Linked DNA regions of Anolis sagrei. The protein of the gene in region 2 binds, or shares a complex with, the protein of the main gene of each other region. Links are inferred from orthologs where the notes say so. Each region holds a gene or a part of one and is shown on either strand. Other genes may lie near its edges.

Region 1 (7,195 bases), on a different chromosome or scaffold from region 2:
GTCTTACTCTAATGCAGTGGTCCTCAACCTGTGGGTCCTCAGGTGTTTTGGCCAACTCCCAGAAATCTCAGCCAGTTTACCAGCTGTTAGTATTTCTGGGAGTTGAAGGCCAAAACATCTGGGGACCCACCGTTTGAGAATCACGGCTCTAATGACTTTTCAACATTTTTGTTTCTGGCCTGAAAGGACTGATTGTTCATGGGAAAGGGCCTTCATTGCTGTGGTACTGTGTCTATATTTGCTTTTAATTCTATTGATTTACTTTGATTTTGACATTTATACTTATATAGATGAGCCATATCCACCTTGGGTCCTAGGACCGAGGAAAATTCAGTTTATTAACAACCTCAAAAACCACTGCCCTGAATCCATTATGAGTCGTTTTCAATTGCTATCCAAATCTAATTGATCAAATGGGCCTGCTCGCATTGGGATGAGGAATTCGATTTAGGGATAAACTTGTTATTCTTTATTCACTTAGCTGGAAGTAAACTCTGTCGAATACAATGTGTCTTAGTCATGAGCACAAAGTAGCCTAAATCAAGTGATTTTAAACTTGAAAACATATATTGCCCCCTGCCTCTGGAATTCCCTTCCGAAGGAAATCTAAATGCCCCCCTTGTTGCCCTCCTTCAAAACGCAGCTAAAAATGTTTCTGTGCACCCAAGCATACAGAGAAGCAGAGGGTTAAGGTTTTAAGAAATAGGGAACGGATTTGGAATATGGCTTTTAATACTGTATCATTTGCACTGCTCAGTGTAGTACTGTGTTGTATTGTTTAATTACGATTTTTAAATGATTGAAATCCTGTTGTGTTTTTTACATGTTTTATTAAATTATGTATGCATGTATTTATTTATTTGTTGGCATTGAATACTTGGGAGGCCCTGGTGGCACAATGGGTTAAACCCTTGTGCCAGCAGGACTGAGGCCCGATAGGTTGGAGGTTTGAATCCAGGAAGAGTGCAGATGAGCTCCCTCTGTCAGCTCCAGCTCCCCATGCAGGGACATGAGAGAAGCCTCCCACAAGGATGGTAAAACATCAAAAGATCCGGGCATCCCCTGGGCATTGCAGATGGCCAGTTCTCTCACATCAGAAGCGACTTGCAGTTTCTCAAGTAGCTTTTGACACCAAAAAAAAAAAAATGAACACTTGCCTTTTGTGACATTAGCTGTTCTGAGTCACCTATCAGGAGATGGGGTGAGATACAAATAAAGATCATTATTATTATTATTTGATACATAAGAATATTAGTACACAGCAAACAAGATTACTATGCTGGCTTTTGCATTTGATCACACATCAGACACTTCCCAATTGTCTAGGACTGTGTGATGTATCGGCAAATGATGTGTACAGATCAGAATAGGGTGGCCTTTTGCAGCTGACAGATGGTAATTCTGTCAGCTGCAAAAGTGCAGGCCAAGGTCTTTAGGCACTGCGCCAAGTGTGCCAATTACCACTGATACCAACTTTACTGGCTTGTGCCAGAGTCTTTGCAGTTCTATATTATTATTATTACTACTACTACTACTACTACTACTACACTTTTATTTATTTATTGTGTCAGAAGCAAATTGAGAATACAGTTATAATCCATATAAACTTACTTTGACCAGAAGCTGGCCACTTCAAATGCTTCCGGTGTGGCTGTAAGAAGGTCCTCCATTGTGCATGTGGCAAGGCTCAGGCCACATTGTAGTAAATGATCTGTAGTTTGCTCTTGTCCACACTCGCATGCCATAGACTCCACTCCACTCCATTTCTTAAGGTTGCCTCTGCATTTCATAGTGACAGAGCGCAGTCTGTTCAGTGCCTTCCAAGTCACCCAGTCTCGTGTGCCCAGAGGGGAGTCTCTTGTTTGGTATCAGCCATTGAGTGAGATTCCAGGTTTTTGCCTGCCACTTTTGGACTCTTGCTTGCTGAGGTGTTCCTGCAAGTATCTCTGTAGATCTTAGGAAACTATTTCTTGTTTTAAGGCATTGGCTTGCTGGTTGATATCCAAACAGATGAGAGAAGCCTCCCCGCAGGATAGTAACAGATCTGGGTGTCCCCTGGACATCTTTGTAGATGGCTGGTTCTCTTACACCAGAAGTGACTTGCAGCATTATTATACTTATCGTGCTATTTATTTATCATGTCAGAAGCAAATAGAGAATATAGTTATAATGAATAAAAAAACACAAAGTTACAAACTTGGCATTATGCTAATCATGCTGCCACTAATTGTGCTGCCAGTCATATAAAATCAATTTTAAACCTATTTTAACAGTAACTCTCAAGCAACCAGAAACTGCATTTATCTGCATCATAGGTGCCAGTTAACTTTTCTTTTTGTCTCAGGTGTGAGAGAATTGACTGTCTGCAAGGATGTTGCCCAGAGGATGCCTGGATGTTTTGATGTTTTATCATCCTTGTGGGAGGCTTCTCTCATGTCCCCACATGGGGAGCTGGAGCTGGCAGAGGGAGCTCATCCATGCTCTCTCCAGATTCAAACCTCCTACCTGTTGGTCTTCAGTCCTGCCAGCACAAGGATTTAGCCCACTGCACCACCGAGGGCTCCTGCCAGTTAACTAAGAGCCTAGTATAATAATAATAATAATAATAATATTAATAATAATAATAATATAATGTGATATATTTGTTTTTGAAGGCTTTCATGGCCAGAATCACTGGGCTGTTGTGAGTTTACCGGGCTGTATGACCATGTACCAGTAGAATTCTCCTCTGACGCTTCCCCCACATATATAGCATGTATCCTCAGAAGTTTGTTGGAAACTAGACAAGTGGAGTTTATATATCTGTGGAATGTCAAGGGTGGCAGAAAGAATTCTTGTCTTTTGGAGGCAAGTGTGTATGTTGCTTTAAATCCTGGGACCAGCTAATACCTCATAACAAAGGATTCCTCCAGTCAGGAAGCAGCCAGGCTTTGACACTGCAAGGCTATTCAATGCTAAGGAAGGAAGCCAATTGCACACTTGCCTCAAGCAGGCAAGAGTTCTTTTTCCCACAACCTCTGGGGATGCCTGCCATGGATGTGGGTGAAACGTCAGGAGAGAATGCTTCTGGAACATGGCCATATAGCCTGGAAAATTTACAGAAACCCAATGTGATATTTATTCAGAAACATGGAGGGCCACATCATTTAGATTTACAACCATCCAATCACAATCCTGTTTTCCTGCCCATCTCTGCTGCAGGAAACAAAACAAAGATCATTGTGGTGTTGTAGGGTTTTTTGGGCTATATGGCCATGATCTAGAGCAGGCATCCTCAAACTGCGGCCCTCCAGCTGTTTGGACCTCCAACTCCCAGAAGCCCTAACAAGCTTGTTCAGTTGTCAGGAATTCTGGGAGTTGAAGGCCCAAACAGCTTGAAATTTGAAGATGTCTGGTCTAGAGGCATAAACCCTTTTTCCTAGTTCCAACAGATCTCACTACCTCTGAGGATGCTTGCCATAGATGCAGGCGAAATGTCAGGAGAGATTGCCTCTAAACCATGGCCATATAGCCTGAAAAAACCTACAACAACCCAGTGATTCCGGCCATGAAAGCCTTCGACAATACAAAGATCATTGTATTTGTATGGCCATGTTCCTGAAGCATTCTCTCCTGACGTTTCACCCACATCTAGGGCAGGCACCCTCAGAGGTTGTGAGGTCTGTTGGAAACTAGGCAAGTGAGGTTTATATATCTGTGGAATGTCCAGGGCGGGAGAAAGAACTCTTGTCTGCTTGAGGCAAGTGTGCATGTTGCAGTTGGCTACCTTGATTAGCATTTAATGGCCTTGCAGCTTCAAAGCCTGGCTGCTTCCTGCCCAGGGGAATCTTTTGTTGTGAGGTGACAGCTGGCCCCACCCTTACTTCAAGCAGACAAGAGCTCTTTTTCCCACCCTGGACATTCCTCAATGCAATCCATCCACGCAGGGTTTTGCTGTCCTTGTTTCCCTGCCTCAATCAATACTGGGAAAGGATTGTATTTTCTGCATCATGCTTCCCACTCTGTCCATTTCCAAGGCTGGCCCAGAAGCCCCGCCCCTTCCAAAACAGGGAGGGGGGAGAAGGAGGTCCTGGTTTGCGCATGCGCCCCTCCACCCTGGGCTTCCCTTTCCCTTGCGCCTGCGCAGAAGCAACCTCCCTCCCAAAGAGGGGCCTCCCGTCCATATAAGAAGATGAAGGAAGGCGGCGCCAATGAGAGCCCGAAAGCAGCCACCGAGGAGTCGAAGCCGGAGCCGGAGCCTGACCCGGGACCCAGCAAAGAGCCGCCGGAGCCGCCGAAGAAGGAGTCGAAAGAGGCGAAGGAAGAGGCTGCTGCTGCTGCCGCCAAGATGGTGAAAGTCATCGGGAGCCTGGTAAGGCCCTCAGGCCTCGAGCAGGCTTCGAACGCGGCGCATCCGGGCATTTTCGGGAGGATTCCCAGCATTGGGGGAACATCGCCTTCGCCTTGTTTGCTGCAGCTGGGCGGAGTGGGCGCCTCTGGTGCAAAGGCTGGCCATTCCCATAGGGCTGAGGCAGCCTAGGGAGCATGGGCTTTGGTGTGCTGTGCTCCTGCAGCCCTGTTGCATCAGCATTGATGCCTCCCTCCCTCCCTCTCCCCTGCATGGTTTGTCTTCTGCCCATCAGGCTCCTCCTTGCCTCCACCCCAGGTTTTCTCCATTTGGAAAAAAAGCACTTCCCAGCAGTTATGCCTTTTTATTATTATTGCCACATTTAGGTTTTGATACTATTCAAGTGGGCAAGGGGCAGGTTGCCAAAACTGGGTCGTCCTCCTTAGCATTACTGATTAATGGCCCAAACTAAAATGAGATTTGAATTGCCCAAATAAAAATTTATATATTTGTATGTTTGTGTGTGTGTGTATTAATTTTGGACTCCATTTACAATTCATGCATGCATGCACTCTAATATTAGAAGAAGCAGAATTGTGTACTTTTTGGTTAGGTAGGAAACTTAGGCCCCTTCCACACAGCTGAATATAATCCCACATTATTTGCTTTGAACTGGGATATATGGCAGTGTGGACTCAGATAACCCAATTGTGGGTCATTCTGCCTTGATATTCTGGGCTATATGGCTGTGGACACACAAGTTTCAGGCATGTTTTACTAACCTGCTGAAACTCCTGGAATAAAATGATGCATCTCAAAGGGATGCCATCTCTCTGCTTTTTTTAAATGCTGAAACATGGCAACTTGAGCTCCTCAGTGCAGTTTGCTGCAAGGGAAGTATAGCTGACTTCCGTGGGATCCTATGTCTTAAGGTGGGACTTCAGTTGTTGTGTCCCTACAAGTCATTTCTGGCGTACGGCAAACAAAAAGCCACACTTTTTGCCATTGCCTTCCCCTGAAGCGGGAGATGGTGACTTGTCCAGTCAGTATCAATGGGATCCTGTTTCTACTCAGAAGTAAGCTAGAACTTCTGTTTGCTGTTTCTAAGAGCCCTTCCACTCAGTCCTATATCTCAGAATATCAAGGCAGGAAATCCCACATTATCTGAGTGTGGACTCAGATAACCCAGTTCAAAGCAGATATTGTGGGATTTTCTGCCTTGATATTCTGGGATATAGGGCTGCGTGGAAGGGCCCTGACTTATGGTCTATTACATAAACCCCACTTGCCCAGTTTCCAACAGCCCTCACAACCTCTGAGGATGCCTGCCATAGATGTGGGCAAAATGTCAGGAGGGAATGCTTCTGGAACATGGCCATACAGCCCAGAAAACACAGCAACCCCAAAAGCCACACTATCACAGGGCTTCCTTAGCAAGATGTGTTCAGAAGAGGTTTTGCCATTGCCTTCCTCTGACGCTGGGGGCCCTTCCACACAACCCCATATCCCAGAACATCAAGGCAGAACATTCCACAATACCTGCTTTGAACTGGGTTATCTGAGTCCATGCTCAGATAATGTGGGATTTTCTGCCTTGATATTCTGGGATATAGGGCTGTGTGACCCTCCGAGAGTGTGACTTGTACAGCAAGTTTCTGTGGGATCCTGTTTCTACTCACAAGTAAGCTAGGACTTCTTTTTCTAACTTATGGCCTCTAACAGGTTGTTCTTGGTAAAATTTGCATGCAAAGGGTTTGCCATTGCCTTCCCTCTGTGGCTGAGAGAGTGTGGCTGGCCCAAGGCTACCCAGGGTTTTTTTTGGCCGAGTGAGGATTCGAACCCTGGCCTCTGGAGTAATAGCCACATTGGCTATCAAGCTGGGACTTAGAAAACCATCGACCTAACGTTTAAGATTATACGCATTCACATGTTAGCCGGGACTTCCTTACAGATAAATTGGTATGAGATACTGGCCTTAAACTATCCAAACTTGTGGCATAGTTAGTCCATGTTTCAGCGGATGCATCTGCTCTGTAGAATGAATGCAGTTTGGTGCTACTTTAGCTGCCATGCCTCAATTCTATGGAATCTTGGGAGTTATAGTTTGATGACGGCTTGACTGCTCAAGAGTGTTGGTGCCTCACCCAACTCCAAAGGTCAGGATTACATAGCACTGAGCTGTGGCCCTTAAAGTGGTGTCGAATTGTATTCATTCTCCAATGTGCGTACACCCAGAGCTGGCTTTTCCCTTCGGCAACTGACTCCTTTTGGTATCAGTGTTGTAGATAGTATTTGTTTTCTTTTTCCAAATTTGTGCCCAGGTGAACTGCCTCTTGTTTTGAGTCTTCTCCTCCGCTGTTTTGCAGCAGGCTTTAATGGCTGCGCAAAGGGGTGCAGTGCCCGCCAAATGGAGTGGAGGCGGGTGGAGATCTCCGCTCTGTTGCTCTCCAATGAGAGAGGGAAAGGGGGAGGAGGGAAATGGCCGAAGAGCAGGGAAAGAAGCAGCAGCAACATTTGCAGCAAAGGAAATGAAATGATCACTGCAATAACCTGGCACACGGGCTTCCTTGCTAAGCAAGCTTCCCAGTCTCCCTTATAGACATTCCCAGCTGTCCGGGGAACCTCTCTTCCATTCGCTGGGGTTTATCAGCCTGGAATGTCTTGCTGATTACTTCCTAATGTAAAACTAGCTTTCTTTTGTTTCTGTTGTTCAGCATATAAGTCCTCGTTCCTTATTGTAAGTTCAGATGTATAGGCATTATCCACATTATGAACAAGATTTGTCTTTAAGTTGAATTTGTATTGGAACAGGTACATTGTCCAATTGTAGCTCCAGACAAAAATATATATGTTTTTGCTTTGGATCAC
Region 2 (7,627 bases):
GAATACCATCAGCGAGGAGACTGATCTTACCTCCATGGGAAGGGCGTTCCAGAGCCGAGGGGCCACCACAGAAAAGGCCCTGTCTCCCGTCCCCGCCAGCCGCACCTGTGAAGCAGGCGGGATAGAGAGCAAGGCCTCCCCAGAAGATCTTAGGGTCCTGGTGGGCTGATAGGCCGAGATACGTTCGGATAGGTAGGTTGGGCCAGAACCGTTTAGGGCTTTAAAGGCCAACGCCAGCACTTTGAATTGAGCCCGGTAGCAAATCGGCAGCCAGTGGAGCTGGTGCAGCAGAGGAGTTGTGTGCTCCCTGTGCTCCGCTCCTGTTAGTATCATGGCTGCCGACCGTTGGACTAATTGGAGCTTCCGAGCCGTCTTCAAAGGCAACCCCACGTAGAGAGCGTTGCAGTAGTCTAAACGGGATGTAACCAGAGCGTGGACTACCGTGGCCAAGTCAGACTTCCCAAGGTACAGGCGCAGTTGGCGCACGAGTTTTAACTGTGCGAATGCTCCCCTGGTCACCGCCGAAACCTGGGGTTCCAGGCTCAGCGATGAGTCCAGGATCACACCCAAACTGCGAACCTGCGTCTTCAGGGGGAGTGCGACCCCATCCAACACAGGCTGTAACCCTATACCCTGTTCGGCCTTGCGACTGACCAGGAGTACCTCTGTCTTGTCTGGATTCAATTTCAATTTGTTCGCCCCCATCCAGACCGTCACAGCGGCCAAGCACCGGTTCAGGACCTCGACAGCCTCCTTAGTGACAGGTGGAAAGGAGTGACAGAGTTGGACATCATCTGCGTACAAATGACATCGCACCCCGAAACTCCGGATGATCTCACCCAGCGGCTTCATGTAGATGTTGAACAACATGGGAGACAATATTGAACCCTGAGGAACCCCACAAGACAAAGGTTGTGGGGTTGAGCAGGAGTCCCCCAGTAACACCTTCTGAGACCGACCCTCGAGGAATGAGCGGAGCCACTGTAGAACAGTACCTCCAAGACCCATTCCCGCGAGGCGTCCCAGAAGGATACCGTGGTCGACGGTATCGAAGGCCGCTGAGAGGTCCAGCAGCACCAACAGGGACACACTCCCCCTGTCGAGCTCCCGGCGCAGATCATCGACTAAGGCGACCAAAGCTGTCTCGGTACCATGCCCCGGCCTGAAGCCAGACTGTGCCGGATCCAGATAATCCGTGTCTACCAAGAATGCCTGGAGTTGTGAGGCCACCACACGTTCCATTACTTTGCCCAAAAAGGGGAGATTGGAAACAGGCCGATAGTTGACGAATTGAGTGGGGTCCAGTGATGGTTTCTTCAACAGCGGTTTTATCACAGCTTGCTTTAAGCTGGCTGGAAATATGCCTTCCCGAAGGGAGGCATTAACCACCACCTTCACCCACTCGGCCAATCCCCCTCTGGCCTCCTTCAGAAGCCAGGATGGGCAGGGGTCTAGGATGCATGTGGTAGCTCTCATTCCTCCAAGCACCATGTCCACATCCTCGGACATACTTGACAGATGCAACTGTCTTTTGGGCTGCATAGGTCAACAGCAAGCTAGACTATTAATGGTAAGGAGTTCACTTTGACCCGGGCTGGATTTGAACTCATGACATTTGGTCAGTAGTGATTTAATGCAGCTGGCTATTAATTAGTTGCGCCACAGCCGGATCCCTGGAGGCTAGGACACGGAACAGTGGCTTCAAACTACAGGAAAAAGAAATTCCACCTGAACATTAGGAAGAACTTCCTAATTGTGAGAGCTGTTCAGCAGTGGAACACTCTGCCCTGGGGAGTAGTGAAGGCACCTTCTTTGGAGGCTTTTAAACAAAAGCTAGATGGGTTGTTGTAGGTTTTTTCAGGCTATATGGCCATGTTCTAGAGCAGTGTTTCTCAACCTTCCTAATGCTGCGACCCCTTAATATAGTTCTTCATGTTGTGGTGACCTCCAACCATAATTTTTTTTGTTGCTATGTCATAACTGTAATTTTGCTAGTTATGAATCATAATGTAAATATCTGATATGCAGGATGTATTTTCATTCACTGGACCTAATTTGGCACAAATATCAGATACGCCCACATTTGAATAATGATGGGGTTGGAAGGGCGCGGGGGTTGATTTTGTCATTTGGAAGTTGTAGATGCTGGGATTTATAGTTCACCTACAATCAAAGAGCATTCTGACCTCCACCAATGATGGAATTGAACCCAACTTGGCTCACAGAACTCCCATGACCAATAGAAAATACTGGAGGGGTTTGGTGGGCACTGACGTTGAGTTTTGGAGTTGTAGTTTACCTATATCCAGAGTGCACTGTGGACTCAAACAATGATGGGTCTGGACCAAATTTGGCACAATATGCCCAAATGTGAACACTGGTGGAGTTTGGGGGGAAAGACCTTGACATTTGGCGTGTTGTCATTGCTGGGATTTATAGTTCACGTACAATCAAAGAGCATTCTGAACTCCACCAATGATGGAATTGAACCCAACTTGGCACACAGAACTCCCATGACCAACAGAAAATACTGGAGGGGTTTGGTGGGCACTGACGTTGAGTTTTTGAGTTGTAGTTCATCTACATCCAGAGAGCACTGTGGACTCAAACAATGATAGATCAGGACCAAACTTGGCACGAATACTCATTATGCCCAAATGTGAACACTGGTGGAGTTTGGGGGGAAAGACCTTGACATTTGGTGTGTTGTCGTTGCTGGGATTTATAGTTCACGTACAATCAAAGAGCATTCTGAACCCCACTGACAATAGAATTGGGCCATACTTCCCACACAGAACCCTTGGCTCACAGAACTCCCATGACCAATAGAAAATACTGGAAGGGTTTGGTAGGCACTGACATTGAGTTTTGGAGTTGTAGTTTACCTATATCCAGAGTGCCCTGTGGACTTGGCACACAGAACTCCCATGATCAACAGAAAATACTGTGTTTCCTGATGGTCTTTGGCGACCCGCTTGACACGCCCTCGCGACCCCCCCAGGGGTCCCGACCCCCAGGTTGAGAAACACTGTTCTAGACGCATTCTCTCCTGACGTTTCACCTGCATCTACAGCAAGCATCCTTAGAGGTAGTGAGAAGCTAGATGGCCATCTGTCGGGGGTGCTTTGATTGTGCTTTTCCTTCATGGCAGAGTGTTGGACTTCATGGCAGAGTGTGGTCACTTCCAACTTTATTATTCTGTGTCATCATGGGAGTTGTAGCTTCACAAGCCTTCTCTGCCAAAGGGTGCTGGTGGTACCTCACCAAACTACAAATCCCAGTCCAAGTGGATCCAAAGCGAGAACGTAGAAAGCTCTTAGACTTAGATGAAGGGCAGACGACACCAAATTGGGACGGATAGCCAATAGTCCAGAGGACAGGAGCAGGATTCAAAACGATCTTGACAGATTAGAGAGATGGGCCAAAACTAACAAAATGAAGTTCAACAGTGACAAATGTAAGATACTCCACTTTGGCAGGAAAAACGAAATGCAAAGATACAGAATGGGGGACAATGCCTGGCTTGAGAGCAGTACATGTGAAAAAGATCTTGGAGTCCTCGTGGACAACAAGTTAAACATGAGCCAACAATGTGATGTGGCGGCAAAAATAGCCAATGGGATTTTGGCCTGCATCAATAGGAGCATAGTGTCTAGATCTAGGGAAGTAATGCTCCCCATGCTCTATTCTGCCTTGGTTAGACCACACCTGGAATATTGTGTCCAATTCTGGGCACCACAATTCAAGAGAGATATTGACAAGCTGGAATGTGTCCAGAGGAGGGTGACTAAAATGATCAAGGGTCTGGAGAACAAGCCCTATGAGGAGCGGCTTAAGGAGCTGGGCATGTTTAGCCTGAAGAAGAGAAGGCTGAGAGGAGACATGATAGCCATGTATAAATATGTGAGAGGAAGCCACAGGGAGGGAGCAAGCTTTTTTTCTGCTTCCTTGGAGACTAGGACGCGGAAGAATGGCTTCAAACTACAAGAGAGGAGATTCCATCTGAACACGAGTGTGAGAACCGTTCAGGAGTGGAACTCTCTGCCCTGGAGTGTGGTGGAGGCATCTTCTTTGGAAGCTTTTAAACAGTGGCTGGATGGCCATCTGTCAGGGGTGATTTGAATGCAATATTCCTGCTTCTTGGCAGAATGGGGTTGGACTGGATGGCCCATGAGGTCTCTTCCAACTCTTTGATTCTATGATTCTATGAGAGGAGATTCCATCTGAACACGAGTGTGAAAGCCGTTCAGGAGTGGAACTCTCTGCCCCGGAGTGTGGTGGAGGCTCCTTCTTTGGAAGCTTTTAAACAGAGGCTGGATGGCCATCTGTCAGGAGTGCTTTGAATGCAATATTCCTGCTTCTTGGCAGGGAGTTGGACTGGATGGCCCATGAGATCTCTTCCAACTCTTTGATTCTATAATTCTAAGGCCTGAATGAAGGAAGGCCTGAGGGAGGAGAGCAAGCACTTTTGAGGCCTTCTTTCTTTCTTTCTTTCTTTCTTTCCTTTCTGTCTTCCTTCCTTCCTTTTCTCAGCAACGTCAGTGGGAATTTCCAGCGAGGAAGTGAGAGGGCGTGGAGGGAGGAGGGGAGGCTGCGTGTTTCTTCCGCGGAGGGAGGAGGAGGAGGAGGCCGCGCTTGGCGGGAGTCGCCTGCCTGCCTCCTTCCTCTCCTCCTCTCTCCTTTCATTTCGCTTTCACACCAACGACCAAGCCCGAAGCAGCGGGGCCGGCCTGCTCCAATCTCTCCCTCACACACTCTCTCTCTCTCTCTCACTCCTCGAGGCGCCTCCTCCTCCTTCAGGCTCTTCTGGATTTGTTCTTTTTGAGCCCACCAGGACTTCTCTCCCTCTTTCCCTTCAAACCAGGACTATCCTGAGGTTCAAGAAGACCATTTCCAAGTCCTGAGGTGAGTGATGCCCAGGGAACACAACAGGCCACCTGACTGGATAGTGTTTGAATGTGATGACTTGGTGTTTCAGTATTATTTACATATTGTTATTATTATTTCCAAGTCCTGAGGTGAGTGAAGTGGAGGGAATACAACAGGCCACCTGACTGAGTTGTGTTTGAATATTATGATTTGGTGTGTCAATATTATATTGTTATTGTTATTTCCAAGTCCTGAGATTAGAGATTTTTAGCATTCTTATCTGGTGTTTTAATATTATTATTTTCTTCATCCTATTATTATTGTTGTTGTTGTTGTTGTTCCCAAGTCCTGAGATTAGTGATGTCCAGGGAATATAACAGGACACCTGACTGAGTTGTCCTTTAATATTATTTGGTGTTTTAGTATTCTTATATAGTGATTTAATTTTCATATTCTTCTTATTATTATTATTATTTCCAAGTCCTGGGGTGAGTGATGTGGAGGGAATATAACAGGACACCTGACTGAGTTGTCTTTTAATATTAGTTTTTGGTATAACAATATTATATTGTTATTGTTATTTCCAAGTCCTGAGATTAGTGATGATTTAGCATTCTTATCTGGGGTTTTAATATTATTTTCATATTATTATTATTATTATTATTATTATTATTATTACTATTGTTGCCAGGTCCTGAGATTAGTGATGATTTAGCATTCTTATCTGGTGTTTTAATATTATTTTCATATTATTATTATTATTATTATTATTATTATTATTACTATTGTTGCCAGGTCCTGAGATTAGTGATGTTTTAGCATTCTTATCTGGTGTTTTAATATTATTATTTTCTTCTTCTTATTATTATTATTACTATTGTTGCCAAGTCCTGAGATTAGTGATGTCCAGGGAATATAACAAGACACCTGATTGTGTTTTGATATTATTTGGTGTTTTAGTATTCTTTCCTGGTGTTTTAATAGTATTTTCATATTATTGTTATTATTATTGTTATTATTTCGAAGCCCTGTAGTGAGTGATGTCCAGGGAATATAACAGACCACCTGATTGTGTTTTGATATTACTTGGTGTTTTAATCATATTTTCATATTATTATTATTATTATTATTATTTCTTCCAAGTCCCGAGGTGAGTGATGCGGAGGGAATATAACAAGCCACCAGATTAAGTTGTGTTATATATTATGATTTGGTGTATTATTATTATTATTATTATTATTATTATTATTATTATTATTTCAAAGCCCCGTAGCAAGTGATGTCCAGGGAATATAGCAGGCCACCTGATTATGCTTAAATATTATTTGGTGTTTTAGTATTCTTAAATGGTGTTTTAATTTAATTTCATATTGTTATTGTTATTGCCAAGTCCTGTGGTGAGTGGTATCCAGGAAATACAACAAGCTACCTGACTGAAAAGTTTTTCAATATGATGATTTGGTGTTTCAGTATTATTTACATATTGTTATTATTATTTCCAAGTCCTGAGATCAGTGATGTCCAGGGAATATAACAGGCCACCCAATTGAGTTGTGTTTAAATATTATTTGGTGTTTTAGTATTCTTATCTGGTATTTTAATTGTATTTTCATATTATTATTATTATTATTATTATTATTATTATTATTATTTCCTAGTCCTGAGGTGGGAGGGAATATAACAAGCCACCAGATTAAGTTGTGTTTTAATATTATGATTTGGTGTATTGTTATTGGTGGCGCAGTGGGTTAAAGCACTGAGCTGCTGAGCTTGTTGATCGAAAGGTCACAGGTTCGATTCCAGGGAGCGGCGTGAGCTTCCGCTGTTAGCCCTAGCTTCTGCCAACCTAGCAGTTCGAAAACATGCAAATGTGAGTAGATCAATAGGTACCGCTCCGGCGGGAAGGTAACGGCGCTCCATGCAGTCATGCCGGCCACACGACCTTGGAGGTGTCTACGGACAACGCTGGCTCTTCGACTTAGAAATGGAGATGAGCACCACACCCCAGAGTCAGACATGACTGGACTTAATGTCAGGGGACTACCTCTACCTACCTATTATTATTATTATTATTATTATTATTATTGTTGTTGTTGTTTTGTTGTTGTTATTGTTATTATTATTATTTCCAAGTCCTGAGGTGAGTGATGTAGAGGGAATATAACAGGCCACCTGATTGAGTTGTCTTTTAATATGATTTGGTGTTTTAGTATTCTTATCTGATATTTTAATATTATTTTCGTATTGTTGTTGTTGTTGTTGTTGTTTCCAACTCCTGTAGTGAGTGATGTCCAGGGAATAGAACAGGCCACCTGATTTAGTTGTGTTTTAATATTGTGATTTGGTGTTTTAATATTATTTTCATATCATTATTATTATTTCCAAGTCCTGTGGTGAGAGATGTGGAGGGAATGTAACAGGCCACTTGATTGAGTCGTGTTTTAATATGATTTGGTGTTTTAATAGTCTTATCTGGTGCTTTAATATTATTTTCATGTTGTTGTTGTTGTTGTTGTTGCCACGACCTGTAGTGAGTGATATCCAGGGAATATAACAGGCCACCTGATTGAGTCGTGTTTTAATATGATTTGGTGTTTTAATAGTCTTATCTGGTGTATTATTATTATTATTATTATTATTATTATTATTATTTTCAAGTCCTGTGGTGAGTGATGTCCAGGGAATATAACAGGCCACCTGACTAATATAACTCATTTTATAGAGTGTGGTGTGTTGTTATGTACAAATAAATCTATAA
Region 3 (7,946 bases), on a different chromosome or scaffold from region 2:
ATGGGGACCTCCACTTGTTGGATGTTGTGTTCATCAACAGCATAGTGTCACCTTGGAATTGGAGCTGTTTGCACTGAAGTCCGACCACATTTGAACTGACGATGCCAGTTCTTAACTTCATCATATGATGGGGAATCATCACCATAAACCTCTTTCATCTCTTTGAACATCTCTTTTGGTGTGCGGCCTTTTAAGTAAAGGAACTTGATGACTGCTCTGTATTCCACTGGGTCGATTATCAACCTCACACCATTTCAGCACCTGTAAAATCAAGACTGTTATCAGTTCTGAGTTGTAAACTGCACGTAACCTATAGAGACTTATATCATTACACACGTGCAGTTTCAGCATCCTGTGATAAATAGAAGTGGGTTAGGGCACATCTTTAATGAACGCCCCGTAGGACTGGAGTGTTGGAGCTCATCTATTCACCCATCTTTTCAAGAGCTGAAATATATATTACTAATAGTTCATCTTTTCTTCTAAAGATGGCAGTCCAGATTAACATAGGTAGCACTAGCTTAACATTGCTTTTCCTTTGAGGCAAAATTTATGACCTCAATGATCTTTCAAGAAACAGTATGAACAACTATTCTCCAATCCATTAAGTAGGTGTTTATACATACCTGCAATTTAAAATTTACTAATATACAATAATATTATAATGCAATAGAATACGAATAATAAAACAGTATTATGATCATACAAGAGGCTGCCAATAATTCTTTGGCTTTACCCAGAAACTAAATAGGAAGATGAAATTTTACATTTATTCCACATACTCTCCACTGATATCAACACACTTCTTACATCGGTATTCCAAGTTCTGTAAGCCTTGCAAAAAGAAGGATTTTGGTTGTGCCTCAAACCAGTCATCCGTAGCAGCCATGGCATCAGAAATGGTGTGAAATTTGGTACCCTGGATGTGTTTCTTCAGGTTTGGAAACAGATGATAGTCAGAGGGAGCTAGATCCGGTGAATCAGGTGGGTGGTCAACCAGCTGGAAGCCAAGCTCCACCAGTTTTGCCATGGTCTCTTGTGCAGTGTGAGCAGAGGCATTGTCTTGCAGGAACAAGATTCCTTTCAACAGCTTGCCTCGCCTTTTGGCCTGCAGAGCTGCCTTCAACTGGTCCAAAAGTTCAATGTAATACCTTGCATTGATGGTGGAACCATTTTGAAGGTAGTCCACTAGCAGCACGCCCTCCTTATCCCAGAACACAGACACCATCACTTTTGTGACTGATTTTTGCACCCTGAACTTCTTTGGACGTGGAGAACCACTGTGCCTACACTCTTTTGACTGCTCCTTGGTTTCAGGGTCATACAAATAAATCCAGGTCTCATCCATAGTGACTAGTTGATCCAGGAAGTTCTCATCAGTCCTGAAACGCTGACAAATGGACCGAGAAGTTTTCACTCGCATGTTTTTCTGATCTGTTGTCAAACATTTTGGGACCCACATTGCAGATAGCTTCTTCATGTTCAAATGTTCATGGATAATGACACAAACACGTTCACGAGAAATCCCCATGATGTCTGCTATTCCTTTAGCTGAAATTAGCCGATTCTCCAGTATGAGGTTGTGAACAGCATCGACAATCGCTGGAACAACAACCACTCTCGGTCGTCCAGGACGTTTCTCATCATTGGTGCTGACGTGGCCAGTTTTAAATTTGGCAACCCAGTTCTTAACTGTAGAATATGAAGGGCATTGATCCCCCAATGTCTGCAGCATATCACCATGAATATCCTTTGCTGACTTTCCTTGCAGAAACAAGAATTTTATCACTTCTCTGCTCTCATTTGCTGTTAATATCACCTTAGACTCCGCCATTTTGTTTTCCTGCATGCCTACATCACTGTTGCATTAAGCTACAAACACAAAATTTTGAAAACATGTATTAGACACATAAGGCTTTCATGTGATGTAACATTTGTTACCATAGAAACAAAAAGAAGAAGACAAAGCCAAAGACTTATCAGCAGCCCCCCGTATATTATCAGTAGTATTATACTGTATTATTAGTATGGAATGGACTTATGAAACTTCGAACGCTGAACTCAGGATTAACCAACTACTGTGTTATTGTATTAATGTGTATTGATATTTTTAAACTCTTAATTTGTAATTGTTTGATTTGTTTATATATGTATGTATGTGTGATAAAGGCATCGAATTGTGCCTTCCTCTGTAAGCCGCCCTGAGTCCCCCCCCCCGGGGGTGAGAAGGGCGGGGTAAAAGTGACGGAAATAATAATAATAATAATAATAATAGTAGCAACATATTGCATTACATGATTTTTAATATTACATGTATATATTATTATATATTATTAACACAGCACAATATTAGTATTATATATTATTACATTGTACTATATATACTACTATACTTTGTATACCAGGCCTGAGCAAACTTGGGCCCTGCAGATATTTTGCAATTGCAACTCCCACAATTTCTAACAGCCTACAGGAATTGTTAGGAATTACCATGTCTCAATGCAAAAGAATCTGTAGAGTTGTAATTTAGTGAGATACCAAAATAATTTGGCAGAAATGGCTAAATACCTCGTTAAATTACAATTCCCAGAATATTTATTTATTTACGACATTAATATGCCGGCCTTCTCACCCCAATGGGAACTTAGAGAGGCTTACAAGATATAATATACATACAATATATTATATTATTAGCATAGAACAATATCAGTATTATATATTACTATATTGTACTATACCGTTATATCGTAATATTATTAGTAATATAAAATATACAATTATGATATCATATTATTAGTATTATCTTGTATTACATTATACTATTAGAATCATAGCATCATAGAGTTGAAAGAAACCTCAAGGGCCATCCAGTCCAACCCCCTGCCAAGAAGCAGGAATACTGCATTCAAAGCACCCCTGACAGATGGCCATCCAGCCTCTGTTTAAAAACCTCCAAAGAAGGAGCCTCCACCACACTCCAGGGCAGAGAGTTCCACTGCTGAACAACTCTTACAGTCAAGAAGTCCTTCCTAATGTTCAGATGGAATCTCCTCTCTTGTAGTTTGAAGCCATTGTTCCTAGTCTCCAGGGAAGCAGAAAACAAGCTTGCTCCCTCCTTCCTATGACTCCCTCTCACATATTTACACATGGCCATCATATCTCCCCTCAGCCTTCTCTTCTTCAGGCTAAACATACCAACTCCTTAAGCCACTCCTCATCATAGGGCTTGTTCTCCAGACGCTTGATCATTTTATTTGCTTGTCAACATCTCTCTTCAATTGTGGTGCCCAGAATTGGACACAATATTGCAGGTGTGGTCTAAACAAGGCACAATAGAGGAGTAGCATTACTTCCCTAGATCTAGACACTATACTCCTATTGATGCAGGTCAAAATCCGATTGGCTTTTTTTGCCGCCACATCACATTGTTGGTTCATGTTTAACTTGTTGTCCATGAGGACTCCAAGATCTTTTTCACACATTGTTGTTGTTGTTGTTCATTCGTTCAGTCATCTGTCTCCGACTCTTTGTGACCTCATGGACCAGCCCACGCCAGAGCTCCCTGTCGGCCGTCACCACCCCCAGCTCCTTCAAGGTCAGTCTAGTCACTTCAAGGATGCCATCCATCCTTCTTGCCCTTGGTCGGCCCCTCTTCCTTTTGCCTTCCACTTTCCCCAGCATAATTGTCTTCTCTAGGCTTTGCTGTCTCCTCATGATGCGGCCAAAGTACTTCAACTTTGTCTTTAGTATCCTTCCCTCCAGTGAGCAGCCGGGCTTTATTTCCTGGAGGATGGACTGGTTGGATCTTCTCGCAGTCCAAGGCACTCTCAGCACTTTCCTCCAACACCACAGCTCAAAAGCATCGATCTTCCTTCGCTCAGCCTTCCCTAAGGTCCAGCTCTCACATCCGTAGGTTACTACAGGGAATACCATGGCTTTGACTAGGCGGATCTTTGTTGCCAGTCTGATGTCTCTGCTCTTTACGATTTTATCGAGACTGGACATTGATCTCCTCCCAAGAAGTAAGCGTCTCCTGATTTCCTGGCTGCACTCTGCATCTGCAGTAATCTTTGCGCCTAGAAATACAAAGTCTGTCACGGCCTCCACATTTTCTCCCTCTATTTTCCAGTTGTGAATCATTCTTGTTGCCATAATCTTGGTTTTTTTTGTTTCGCTGCAACCCAGCTTTTGCGCTTTCTTCTTTCACCTTGATTGTTAATATAGATTGAGTTTATTACTCATTGATTGTTTTGTAATATTGATAAGCTGAGCCAAGTCTACCAGGACTTCGTGAATAAATACCCTGTTTAATGTTTCTTGAAGTGGACTCAGTTATTCAAGAAAGCTCAATCTGCCCAAAAAAAGACCCCAGCAGTTTCGCCCAGACATAGATAGCAGCACGTCAAAGTTTTATTTTAAAGCGTCTGGGCGTAACGGCACATGCATATACAATATATTTTATTACACTATATTATAACATTAGCATAGCACAGGAGACAAGAATACCATAGCATTAATTCTATAGTGTAGAACACCCTACCGGAATTGTGGGAGTTGAAGTCCAAAACACCTGGAGGGCCCAAGTTAGCTCATGCCTGAGGTACACTATACTAAACTGTACGTATCCCACCTTCCTGAGAGTAGGTGTTGGACAAGGCCGGCCTTCCTTCCTAAACGAGACGGGAGCGCAGCTTTCGAGGAGGTCTCCTTGGCGACTGGCCCAAAATGGCGGCCCAGGCCTATCGCCTGAGACGGGCTGAAGAGGAAGTCCCTTTAGGCCCCGCCCCCTCTCGGCTCACGCGCACCTCTCCCTCCCTTCGCCCCTCTCCATCACGGAGCGCTGCCCAATCAGAGCGCGCTGTGGGCGGGAAGAGGCGGGGCTAAGGGGCAAGGGGGCGTGGCTAGGGGCGCCTGACTGCGCGCGAGGCTGGGCCGCTGCTTCCCTTCCTTCCTTCCCTTCCTTCCTTCCTTCCTCTCTCTCGCTCTACCGGCACCAGAGGCGGAAGAGGCGAAGATAGGCCTCAAGGCCTCCTCAAGGCCCCTTCGAAGCAAGGCGACGACAGAGAAGGAGAAGCGGGGGCCCGGCCGGGGAGGGAGGAAGGCCTCGCTCCCTACCTTCCTGCCGCCATGGCCGACAACGAAAAGGCGGACAACCAACGGCTGAAGAACTTCAAGAACAAAGGCCGCGACCTGGAGGTAGAGTAGCGCCGCTCTCTCCTGAGGGAAGGAGGGAAGGAGGGGGTTAAGAGAGAGGGCTTGGCTTGCTTGCTTGGTGAGGGCCTGTGGCTTTATAATCCGCGGCGGGGCCTGGTTTCCCTCACCCGCCGGCCGGCCTCGTCCTTCTTCCTCCTCCTCCGCCGCCAGAGGGAGGGTGGGGCCCGCTGGGATTCGCCTGCGAGGCCGCGGCCTAGGCCTCCGCGCGCAGTGACGACGCCGCCGCTTTCCTGCTTCCCTTTTTCATATCTCTTCGAATCGCCTTGTGATTCATAATATCAGAGAGAGCAGGCTTGGGCAAACTTCGGCCCCCGAGAGTGTTTTGGACTTCAACTCCCACCATTCCTAACAGCCTCAGGACCTTTCCTTTTCCCTCTCAGCCGCTTATGAGTCCAAAACACTCTGAGGGCCGAAGTTTGCCCAGACCTGAGATAATAATAGTAATTATAATTATATAAATAAAAATGTAACGTTCATAGAATCAGAGTTCGAAGAGAACTCATGGGCCATCCAGTCCAACCCCATTCTGCCAAGAAAGAAATTCTACCTAAATTTTAGAAATAACTTCGTGATTATGAGAGCTGTTCAACAGGGAAACAGGCTGCTTTGGAGAGCAATGGACTTTTCATCTTCAGGTGTCTTTAAGCAGAGGTGGTATGGCCATCTTTTAGGCACACTATAGTTATGTATTCTTGCACAGCAGTGAGTTGCACTGGCATAGCCCTTGTGGTCCCTTCCAATTGTAAGATCCTATGATTTAATTATTCCAAATAGAAAGAGTCCACCACTTTCTGAGGCAATCTATTTCACTGCTTAACGGTTCTTATAGTAGAAACTACTTATAGACTCAAAGAGTTGGAAAAGACCTCATGGGCCATCCAGTCCAACCCCATTCTGCTAAGAAGCAGGAATATTGCATTCAAAGCACCCCTGACAGATGGCCATCCAGCCTCTGTTTAAAAGCTTCCAAAGAAGGAGCCTCCACCACACTCTGGGGCAGAGAGTTCCACTGCTGAACGGCTCTCACAGACAGGAAGTTCTTCCTCATGTTCAGATGGAATCTCCTTTCTTGTAGTTTGAAGCCATTGTTCCGCATCCTAGTCTCCAAGGAAGCAGAAAACAAGCTTGCTCCCTCCTCCCTGTGGCTTCCTCTCACATATTTATACATGGCTATCATATCCCCTCTCAGCCTTCTCTTCTTCATGCGAAACATGCCCAACTCCTTAAGCCACTCCTCATAGGCTTGTTCTCCAGACCCTTGATCATTTTAGTCTCCCTCCTCTGGACACATTCCAGCTTGTCAATATCTCTCTTGAGTTGTGGTGCCCAGAATTGGACACAATATTCCAGCCGCTCCTCATACTGCTCTCGAGCCAGGCATCGTCCCCCCATTCGTTTGTGGGATTAACAGATCAACTCCCACCATTCCTAACAGCCTCAGGCCCTTTCCTTTTCCCTCTCAGTCGCTTATGAGTCCAAAACACTCTGAGGGCCGAAGTTTGCCCAGACCTGAGATAATAATAATAATAATCTATATAAATAAAAATGTAACGTTCATAGAATCATAGAATCAAAGAGTTGGAAGAGACCTCATGGGCCATCCAGTCCAACCCCATTTTGCCAAGAAGCAGGAATATTGCATTCAAATCACCCTTGACAGATGGCCATCCAGCCTCTGTTTAAAAGCTTCCAAAGAAGGAGCCTCCACCACACTCCGCAGCAGAGAGTTCCACTGCTGAACGGCTCTCACAGTCAGGAAGTTAGGTTCTTGTGGGTTTTTTCGGGCCATAGAGCCATGTTCTAGAGGCATTTCTCCTGACGTTTCGCCTACATCTATGGCAAGCATCCTCAGAGGTAGTGAGGATGCTTGCCATAGATGCAGGCGAAACGTCAGGAGAAATGCCTCTAGAACATGGCTCTATAGCCCGAAAAAACCCACAAGAACCTAGTGATTCCAGCCATGAAAGCCTTCGACAATACATAGTCAGGAAGTTCTTCCTCATGTTCAGACGGAATCTCCTTTCTTGTAGTTTGAAGCCATTGTTCCGCGTCCTAGTCTCCAGGGAAGCAATAAACAAGCTTGCTCCCTCCTCCTTATGACTTCCTCTCACATATTTATACATGGCTATCATATCTCCACCCCCCCACCCACCCCCGGTGGCGCAGTGGGTTAAAGCACTGAGCTGCTGAGCTTGTTGACCAAAAAGTTGCAGGTTCGATTCCAGGGAGCGGCGTGAACTCTTGCTGTTAGCTTCAGCTTCTGCCAACCTAGCAGTTCGAAAACATGCAAATGTGGGTAGATAAATAGGTACCGCTCCAGCGGGAAGGTAACGGTGCTCCATGCGGTCATGCTGGCCACATGACCTTGGAGGTGTCTATGGACAACGCTGGCTCTTCGGCTTAGAAATGGAGATGAGCACCACACCCCAGAGTCAGACAACATTTACCTTTTTATCATATCTCCCCCTCAGCCTTCTCTTGTTCAGGCTAAACATGCCCAACTCCTTAAGCCGCTCCCCATAGGGCTTGTTCTCCAGACCCTTGATCATTTTAGTCTCCCTCCTCTGGACACATTCCAGCTTGTCAATATCTCTCTTGAGTTGTGGCGTCCAGAATTGGACACAATATTCCAGGTGTGGTCTAACCAAAGCGGAATAGAGGGGTAGCATGACTTCCCTAGATCTAGACACTATGCTCCTATTAATGCAGGCCAAAATCCAATTGGCATTTTT

Evidence for each region.
Region 1: the proteins of NFKB1 (region 2) and thioredoxin-like are in contact, whole or in part, in an NMR structure (PDB 1MDI), measured with the Homo sapiens proteins. The link is inferred for Anolis sagrei from reciprocal best matches to the Homo sapiens genes NFKB1 and TXN. Residues at the interface, in NP_001158884.1 of Homo sapiens: Arg56, Phe57, Arg58, Tyr59, Val60, Cys61, Glu62, Gly63, Pro64; in NP_003320.2 of Homo sapiens: Thr30, Trp31, Cys32, Pro34, Met37, Ile38, Asp58, Val59, Asp60, Asp61, Gln63, Ala66, Ser67, Val71, Lys72, Pro75, Ser90, Gly91, Ala92.
Region 3: the proteins of NFKB1 (region 2) and KPNA4 are in contact, whole or in part, in a crystal structure (PDB 7LFC), measured with the Homo sapiens proteins. The link is inferred for Anolis sagrei from reciprocal best matches to the Homo sapiens genes NFKB1 and KPNA4. Residues at the interface, in NP_001158884.1 of Homo sapiens: Glu357, Glu358, Val359, Gln360, Arg361, Lys362, Arg363, Gln364, Lys365, Leu366, Met367; in NP_002259.1 of Homo sapiens: Arg96, Lys97, Leu99, Ser100, Ser101, Asp102, Arg103, Pro105, Phe133, Trp137, Thr140, Asn141, Ala143, Ser144, Gly145, Thr146, Ser147, Thr150, Gln176, Trp179, Gly182, Asn183, Gly186, Asp187, Asn219, Trp222, Val225, Asn226, Arg229, His230.

Annotation. Positions count from the first base shown.
Region 1 is NC_090022.1:206,155,103-206,162,297, forward strand, and holds the start of thioredoxin-like, read left to right. Parts: upstream 1-4,135; 5' UTR 4,136-4,171; coding exon 4,172-4,351; intron 4,352-7,195. UniProt on the Homo sapiens protein: Participates in various redox reactions through the reversible oxidation of its active center dithiol to a disulfide and catalyzes dithiol-disulfide exchange reactions.
Region 2 is NC_090025.1:27,556,205-27,563,831, forward strand, and holds the start of NFKB1 (nuclear factor NF-kappa-B p105 subunit), read left to right. Parts: upstream 1-4,569; 5' UTR 4,570-4,905; intron 4,906-6,993; exon of another isoform or gene 6,994-7,009; intron 7,010-7,627.
Region 3 is NC_090023.1:246,815,146-246,823,091, reverse strand, and holds the start of KPNA4 (importin subunit alpha-3), read left to right. Parts: upstream 1-4,887; 5' UTR 4,888-5,127; coding exon 5,128-5,196; intron 5,197-7,946. UniProt on the Homo sapiens protein: Functions in nuclear protein import as an adapter protein for nuclear receptor KPNB1. Binds specifically and directly to substrates containing either a simple or bipartite NLS motif.